2 linked regions of the Caenorhabditis elegans genome follow. The protein of the gene in region 1 purifies or fractionates together with the protein of each later gene. This does not show direct contact. Each region holds a gene or a part of one and is shown on either strand. Other genes may lie near its edges.

Region 1 (4,389 bases):
GAACAAGAATGAAGGATCAATATGAACATGTTATAATTGAATTCTCACGAAACAATGTTAACGTTATTTCAGTTTATCACAGGGTTCCATCTTCTTGAATAAAATATGAAAAACTTCCAAAATCGGTTTTGTACGCTGGGAAAGTTTCAATTCTTGTGTGAGCTGTCGATTAGTTTCGGATTTTCGACTGAAGATCTTGAAGTACAGAAAACATTTAATTCAGTTTTCTTGGATATATGAAATAGAGACTTTACACATTCTGTGGAACCATTAGATTCACAAAAAAATTGCTCGAATTTTTCTTCCGAAAATTGTTCTCAACTTCGATCTCTTAAAATGAAAGTTCACATTTTTTAAGAAAGATCCTCAGACAACACGATAATTATTCCATTCTCATCATATCAAGTTTCAGTTTGAATTCAAAGGTTCAAAAAATCTGGCGATGACAATAAAAATCAAAGGACATTTCTGAAAATATAAGAGCATACTCTATCATTGAAAAAGAGAGATACACACATATTTTCAGTAATCGGATCGGACCGGTTTGACCCGGGTGACATTTTGAATTTACATTGTCAATTATTTCATCTCTCTTTTTAAATGGAATATCAATGAGCTGGAGTTTTAAAAATCACTGCTAGCAAAATAAATTTAAAAGATTTTGTGGAAAATTTGTAGAAGAGGCGTCGCACGAGGAATAGTATTATTTTTTCAGGTTCTTGTTTCGAAATCAGAATTCAGGTTTTCAGGTCGTCCCTCGACCACTGTAATTGCTGTACTTACCGATGGTGTGATCCACTGAAACAGGCTCATTCCAGTTGAGAACTTGTACACAGACGATGCCGCTGTTGATATATTCGGATGGAGATGTTGACGATGTTGCCACGTTGATGTCGTGTCGACCCCGATCGTCAGTCGGCATCGGGGTTGAGTTTGATTCGGCCATATCGACGACGATGATGGAGAAACTGGTTCTCGAGGACAGATCAGTCTCTCCTCTCTTCAACTTTAACTTCTGCCGGTCGCGTTTCGCCCAAAAAAGTTGCGAAACTAATTAATACTGTGTATGTCAGAGGTACGTGCCCCATACACACATACATCCACACGCCATATACTCGAGGTCAAAACCCGCGGAACTGAATTTGGAAACCGGTTGGTGCGGGAATGGTGCGCACGCGGTTTTTGATCTACCCGATAGGTTGCGGTTATCTGGTAAGAGGGAGTGATTTTGGAATGTTACCTTTTCAAAAAGTCGTTTCCATCAAACAACATCGTGATATATAATTGGGACTTTGAACATGTTATTGAAGGAATGCAATTTAGTATATGGAGAATGAATATAATTTGTTGAAAATATTTCACAGTACTAATAAGGAACTATAGTAAGCAGCTTTCTTTGTTAGTTATCGTGCAAATTAAAAATATTTTAGTTTATAATCGTCGACTCACTCTCCTATTGGAGCTACCGCTCCACTTTTGCTCGAAAACCTCGGGTAATAAATTTGCAAAGAAAATCAAAAACTTGAGATGTGTTTATTTTGGATTTCATAAAAGTCTTACAGGCCCATCTTTGAACCAAGTTTTCAGCTTCTGGGCATACGCTTCGATAAATTGGAGCAAGATGGACAAAATTAGAGAATTTTTTACTTTTACCAAAAAGAAAAATAACTTTCCCAAAAAAGATTGATTGACAAAAATATTAGTATTTTATTCAGAATTCATCCGTTCAAAAAATATTTAAAAATCCAAATTACATTTCCCAACTTTTGTCATTAAAAATTTGAATCGGCTCTCAAAAATAATTTCATTTTTACCTACTTTTCCACTTTGTTCATGAATTTCTGGAAGATCAAATATGGTGGAAGGTCTCTTCAACTGCAGTACTATTAACAATCTTATCAGTGCTCTCACCATCAGCGCCAGTGATGACAGAGATAAGAAAATTTGCTTGGCTCGATTCAGCTTGTCTTGTCTATTTTTCTTCTCCTACTCAATCGGTGGCTGGTGAAAAATGAATTTGAAATTGATTGGATTCTTGTTTGTTATAGGAACATGTCAGGTAAAAGAGTAAAATACTTTTTGGATCTAATTGTAAAATTATTGGTTTCAGGCCAACTTGTTCAATCTTCCACGTGCTGCCATTCGTCTCACCAGAGAATTTACTGGAATGGACAAGCTCCCAGCTCCAGAAGAACTCGGAGGTGAAGAATATGATATGAAGATTGAGGTCAACAATGTCGTTGAAGAGATGGTTGATGATATGGAAGATAGTAGTGAGGAAGATACCCCATTGGCACGAGTTGTTAATGACGATGATTTATTGTACAAAAAGGTAGGTATATCACTGGAATAATTTTTAGTAAAAATCAATTTTGACAGGGTTTTCATCTCGATTCCCCATTTGAACTGAACAAAAAGGTAAATAAGCCTGTTGTGAGATATCCAAATATAGCTAAAAACAACCAAAAAATTAGAGAAGAAATTGTTTATCCAGCGGATTTTGATGAACACGTTGTCGAAATTTTGGACTCGAGAAAAGAGAGAAAAATCGACTTGTCGCCAATGATCAAGGCCAAGCTGGAAAAGGGATATTATGAGGTTAGCAATGTGAACTTTAAATGTAACCACACATGCGTTTTCAGCCTAATGATGAAGCTCTTGTGGATATGAGCTCAGAGTCAGAAGAGTCTTCAGAAGAATGGGAAGAAGCTCGTCCATACCTCAAATGTGGATGTTTGAAGAAATCTGGAAAAGTTTTCGAATCAAAGACTGCACCAAGAGAATGGGAATCTAGTAGCTTCAAGTCAAACGACCTTCCAACTGGTTGGGACTGGAGAAATGTTAGTGGAGTCAACTATTGCTCTCCAACAAGAAACCAACATATTCCAGTCTATTGTGGATCTTGCTGGGTGTTCGGAACAACTGGTGAGATAAAATAGGTGTCTTCGTGAAGTAGTTTTCATATTATTTCAGGAGCTCTCAACGATCGTTTCAACGTTGCTCGCAAGGGAAGATGGCCAATGACTCAATTGTCGCCACAGGAAATTATTGACTGCAATGGAAAGGGAAATTGTCAAGGTGGAGAAATCGGAAATGTGCTAGAGCACGCTAAGATCCAAGGACTTGTGGAGGAAGGATGCAATGTCTACAGAGCCACAAATGGAGGTGAGAAATTTTAGTTGGATGTAGATGTAGACATTAATCTTGGCAGTTTTATTTTTTTTTATTTTTTCAAAAAAGTTGTTTTAATTTTTCATTCTAACAATGCTCAAATAAATAAAACAATATTTGAAATTCCAGAATGTAACCCATACCATCGCTGTGGATCTTGCTGGCCAAACGAGTGCTTCTCCCTTACCAACTACACTCGTTATTACGTTAAGGATTACGGACAGGTCCAGGGACGTGACAAAATCATGTCTGAAATCAAGAAAGGAGGACCAATTGCATGTGCCATTGGAGCAACAAAGAAATTCGAGTATGAATATGTGAAAGGAGTCTACTCAGAGAAGAGTGATCTCGAATCCAATCATATCATTTCACTCACTGGATGGGGAGTTGATGAGAACGGAGTTGAGTACTGGATCGCCAGAAACAGTTGGGGAGAAGCTTGGGGAGAGCTCGGATGGTTCCGTGTGGTCACTTCAAAGTTCAAGGATGGACAAGGAGATCAGTACAATATGGGAATTGAACGTGATTGTTATTATGCGGATGTTGATGTTTCCAACTTGACTTTCTGAGTGGATAGGAAGATCAATGATCAGATGAAAAATAAATGATATTTATTAGTTTGTTCTGATGACTTGAATAAATTGTTCTGTTGGTTGGGATAGTATTAAAAAATTGAAAAATAATATACAAAATTGAATTTATGCAATTGTGCATGTTGCCGAATGATTCTGATTTGCTTTCGGGTGTCCGTCATGCTTAACAGTTTGTGCATTTTCAATGAAAATCTCTAATTCTTCATAACCCTCGATGCTGTTCACGTTGACATCTGAAAATCACAAATGATTATTTCACTTATTCGTACAACTACAACCGCACCTCTTTCATGATCTGTAATCTCCCAAATGCTCTTTTTCAAGCTTCTCATCAAAAAATATGTCTCCACATCTCCTCGTCCTTTTACATTTATTCTACCTCGAGGACTAAATTCAAATCTTCCAGTTTCCATGGCTTTTGAATACGTCCAGCTACTACATTGTATCTTACCAGCAACACCGAGAGATTCCATTTGAGACGCTAAAGTTACAGTCTCTCCGAATAGACAATAACGTGGCATTTTAGTGCCAACTACTCCGGCAATAATAGTTCCAGAATGAAGTCCAATTCGAAGCAGAAACGGGGTCTTGTTTACAGGGTCCATCACAGAACGGGCTTCCCACA
Region 2 (4,961 bases), on another chromosome or scaffold:
TTGGCGCAAAAATGTAGGAAGAGATGTTTAGTTTTTTTCTTTCCACAACACTTGCTTTGAACAAACTTTTTTGTGTTTACTGCCTTTTGTGAGGAAGTACAGATGCCTTGAAATGGGTTTTTAAAGAAAACATAGACCCCTTATGACGCGTGTCTCAAAATGTGGGGAAAGACGAATTGTTCAGTAAAGTTGACATCTCTTCTCAAAACTTGCTATGCTTTCTTCTTTTGTGGTTATCAAAATCTGAGCAGCATCCCACATCTAACAAAGGAGCCCCAGCTCTATTCTCTTGAGAAAAAGGGCCTGAGGTTCGGGATGGTGGGACGGAAGCCGCTGAAGAAAGAAGGAAGGCAAGGTCAAGGGTCGCATTTTGTGCATATTTGATTTTATGACACTGAGTGGAGGAAGTGTCTGTGAGGAAAAGGGGAACCTTTTGAATGAAAGGTTTTGAGAGAAGATGACGGTTTTGAAAGGATTTAGTGAGTTGGAAAGGAAAACTAAAATTTTTTTTCACTTAGTTACAAAATTAAACTCTTATTGAAATTATTCACTACCAAGAAAGTTCAATTTAGGACAATGCAATATTTCTTACATGCATCGCATTACTGATATTATATGTTGTCCTTACGGGTTGAGATCATAAAAATATGTTTGGAATAAAGCACAAAGCTTATTTATTTTTTAGTAACGAAAAGATTTAAAGTTGTAGAATTATCTATTTTAATTTGATTTAATTTGATATTTTCAGCTATTGCCGGAGGTGTTCTCGTTGCGGTGATTACAGCCATTCTACTCGTGCTCTTTGTAGTCTTTCGAATCAGGAAAAAAGATGAAGGGTCATACGCATTGGATGAACCCAAGCAAGCAAGACCATATGCCTCGTATGGTTATACCAAAGCATCGACAAAAGAATTTTACGCGTAATCTCTACTGTCATTTGTTCAAAATCTTCTATCACTCAATCACCTTTCAAATCATTTTTATGATTCTGTTCTCAGACTTCATTCCAATCTGCCATACCTTTCAATTTGTTTTTTTCCCACTCCCATTTTTTTCAAACCCTCCCCCCCCCCGCCTTCCTTTCGTAAAGGTCATTACTCTCTGTTCTACTCGTGATAATTTGATAATATAAACTGATCTGACTCCATGGTGCCAAATATTTGAATATAATCTTTTGTAGACCCACTTAGGGGTAGGGATGCATGTATCTTTGACTCAATTTATACTATACTCCCTTGTTACTATAATGTGCTCATATTATCCTATTCTAGAAATTTCCACCTAATTTCCAAAATCCCTCAACACTCTCACGCGGTTTCTCTGGTTTCTGATGGCACTTATCTGCTAGAGTTTTTTGTTTCAAAACTTGCCTCTTGAAATTTGTACTTTTTCTTGTTTTATCCGTTTACCTTTTTCTTTCCAATAACATCTTCTGTAACAATTTGAGATGCTCACATATTTTATGTATTCAAATTTATAAATATAAAAATATTACATTAATGTTCCAAAACAATATAAATAAACAAATAACGAAAGAAAAATGATCATGAGAAATCTCACATGGACAATGAAATAACAAGAAGAAGGAAACGAAGCCTTAAATTGAAAATAACGGGTTTCCATAGAGACAAAATAAAGCTGCGCGTTTTTTCAATCAGAATACGTAAAACTTTTTTGCCTCGTGCACTAATACTTTTCGAGCTTTCTTTTTTGGCTTCGGTTGCCATGTAATTTTTCTGAATGATAGAAGAGCGCCTATTGAAGTATTTGTTATTACTGTTCCTAATTCTTGGATTCTGCGAATGTAAGATTCTCAATCAATGCTATTCATCTGGAACAAGCTGTATTCGGTTTGAAAAAGCTTATTTTGAATTTGTGGACACTGTTCAACTAACCAGCGATAATGTGCCAACTCTAAAAGACAACGCAGGAACAACATCAACTCGTGTTGTGCTCAGTGAGCTTCTAAGTCATTTGGCATTCAATCATAGTTGGACACTTGCCGCATTGGTTAGCTTCCTTTTCGAAAATTCTGAATAATTGACGAACACGCAATTCAATTTGCATTCAGGTGGTCAACGCAGGCACACGCACTGACGTTCAATGGAAAATAGCTCCTGATGAGACAAGTGAGCATCCAATTGAAATAGACGATCCAGATGGATATGACAATCCGTTTCCTAATGCGACAGTTCATTGCGTCGACATTCAAAATTATGCTGATGACGCAAAACGGGTAAGTATTGGTCATGTCTCATTCATCTTCATTTTGAAGGTGTCTCCGAATGGTCTTCTTGTTACCACATAGAACCATATAAAATATATGAGAACAAAAAACGAAAAAAAAACGTATTGAAAGATGGGAATAGGAACCATATGGTTGTAATGTAATGGCGCGTTTCGTGTCGCCGTGTGTGTATGTTCAAAATGCGTCAAAGACCTTGTGAAAGACCAACTGCTCTTGTCTTTTATTTCGATTATGCAAAGGGTGTGAAATTGAAGGTGTATTGGTAGTGAGAAAATTGATTCTGTATTTAAGTGCCTTACACTTGATAGTCGGGGGAGCAACCAATATATTCGACTTTGACATTAAAAAAAACCTTACTGGTGTATCAGAGACCGGCACTTTTAGAAGTAAATTTTTGAATGAAAACGTAAGGATAATTTTTGAATTTTCAGGCTTTGAAAATAACATTACAAAACCTAAATATATCACGTTTAATTTGAATGTAATAATAAACAAAAAATTGAAAATTTTTGAAAATGCAGGGAATCAATACAACAGTGCCAGGAACGTTATAATTAAAAAGTTATGTTATATGGAAAAATGTGAAACACATGTTATATCTGCCACAGGTTTATACATGTTAGGTTTTTTAGGTAAAGTACATGCTTATTGTTATAGTAAAAACATCAACAATAGAATAAACATTATAATAGTTCAAATCAATTATGCACGTGTCGATGCTAATCCATCGGTCACAATACTTATAGTAAACACATTTTTGTGCTGTTTTACACAACAACAATGAAGAAACGATAATAGTTTAGTAAAATTATTTCCATTGGAATAGTGATTACTTTTTCAGAGCCCAATATTTAGATAACTTTTTAAAGCCAAGTTGATGCGTCATATGATAAAGCAGAAATATACAAGAGCGTGTTGTATCAAATATCCTGGATAAATTGAATTTAGAATCTTAGGACTATTATCAATGATGAGTTTAGATCCCCATCAAATTTGCGGATTTATTATAGTAGAAAGTTCCAGTAACAACATTGATCGGTTGAATTATTAAACTACATTTATAAAAAATAATTTTAAATCGTCTTTTAATACCTCAATTCTTTCTAACAGTGGCATTTTCAGTTTTTGGTAGTACCACCCAACTACAATTTCTTTTTTTCTGTTAATGGCTCCGCTTCCATAAACTGTTCAAAAAGTGGGATTTCAATTATTCCGTTTGTTTGGGATGATACCAGTAGGGCAAGTATACGAGGAATGTCCTATTTTTCTTCATCACCTTGCTCTAGTGTGAGATTGACAAAGATCAAATATATTTTTTAATTCTTCAATTTAGGAATGCCTCGTGTTGCCTATCCCAACATTGTTGGTTAGATTCTGCCCAAATGTCAACAACAGGTACAACTAACTTATATTAAAAATTATAACTATTTTTTAATACAGCAATTTGGAAATTCACATTGATAAAGTTGAAGATTTTACTGCCGAGTTGTCTGATGATTTACTTGGTATAAACATTCAAAAGGTTAATGATTCAATTGAATTTCCAATGGGCATTATGAATTGTGAGGTTTTGATGGAAAACTCTTCCATTCTCGGAGGTAACTAGTTTTTCCACCAAATCATTCATAAAGTACATATTATTCAGAAAACCCTATTTGTCTGGGAGATGGGGCAAATGTCGCCATTAAATTTGGTGCCAATCCAAAGATCGGCATACTACAAGAAGTGAAAACAAAATTCTCACCTCGATCAGCATTTCTCAAAAGTCCAAAAAATGCGGTAAATTCTCATTGAAGGGCAAATAAAATTGAAAGGCGCACAGTTGCAGGTGTATCCAAACTTTACAGTTTCCCATGAAAAAGAAGTGGCTACATGTTCTAATTCAACAACGTTCGAAGTAAAACAGATTTCAGGGAACGGCTTCATGCCTTTGAGTTTTCAGTGGACTATTTTGAATGGTTGGATTTTTTTATAATGTAATATCAATCAACTTCATAAATTAAGGTACCTTGGATATGGAAACCATTGCAAAAGCCGCAACAGAAAGACTTCTGGAAATCCCCAGTCATCATGTAAGATATAAAAATAAAACTTGATTTATTTTATTTTTGAAGCTATCAACAAACAATGTGATACTGGTCACCGGGTGTAATGTAGCGGAAAAATGCACTTCAAGTGGACCAATCTATACCGCACTTGTTGATGATGCATCAGTGTTTTCAGTTTCTATTGATGGTACTTGATACTTTTTAAAATGTTGAGTAAACTCAAATTATTCTAGGCGTTGAACAAGAAACCCCTGCTTCATTCGGTCTTCGTCTCCGTGCAAACCCTACTTTTAAGCAATGCAGCTCCAAAACGTCCCCAAAAGATGTTCAGGTGTTTCAATACATAAGCTTTAAAAAATGACATTATTTTTTTCAGTACGAGTGGAAATTGAATGGGGAAGGCAAAATGTATGATGACGGGCTCAAACTACCGGCTTATTCATATTCTGTGAATGAGCTGGTTAATGTTACACTGATAGCAAGATACAGTTACGAAAAACCGTACTCTTCAAGTTCAACAAAGACCATACATGTATGTTGTTAAACTTGCAACTACTGTTGCTAAAAAAAAGTTGCATGACATTTATTGAAAGGCAAAAATAAGGTTCTTCACGAAAATCACTGTAATACAGTTTATTACACCATAAATTGTATTTCGACATTAA

What was found.
Region 2: the proteins of cpz-2 (region 1) and F57C7.4 fractionate together in Caenorhabditis elegans (co-fractionation; one large-scale study listed by BioGRID). This does not show direct contact.

Annotation. Positions count from the first base shown.
Region 1 is NC_003283.11:13,379,253-13,383,641, forward strand, and holds cpz-2 (cathepsin X), read left to right. Parts: upstream 1-1,936; 5' UTR 1,937-2,011; coding exon 2,012-2,059; intron 2,060-2,110; coding exon 2,111-2,332; intron 2,333-2,379; coding exon 2,380-2,598; intron 2,599-2,642; coding exon 2,643-2,925; intron 2,926-2,973; coding exon 2,974-3,165; intron 3,166-3,300; coding exon 3,301-3,740; 3' UTR 3,741-3,825; downstream 3,826-4,389. Other genes in the region: Soluble guanylate cyclase gcy-34, read right to left, coding at 3,870-3,997, 4,048-4,389.
Region 2 is NC_003284.9:10,586,318-10,591,278, reverse strand, and holds the start of F57C7.4 (PKD/REJ-like domain-containing protein), read left to right. Parts: upstream 1-1,713; 5' UTR 1,714-1,740; coding exon 1,741-2,010; intron 2,011-2,071; coding exon 2,072-2,236; intron 2,237-3,370; coding exon 3,371-3,535; intron 3,536-3,581; coding exon 3,582-3,643; intron 3,644-3,688; coding exon 3,689-3,846; intron 3,847-3,893; coding exon 3,894-4,027; intron 4,028-4,076; coding exon 4,077-4,206; intron 4,207-4,252; coding exon 4,253-4,320; intron 4,321-4,362; coding exon 4,363-4,483; intron 4,484-4,529; coding exon 4,530-4,627; intron 4,628-4,672; coding exon 4,673-4,828; intron 4,829-4,961. Other genes in the region: sdn-1 (putative syndecan), read left to right, coding at 749-924.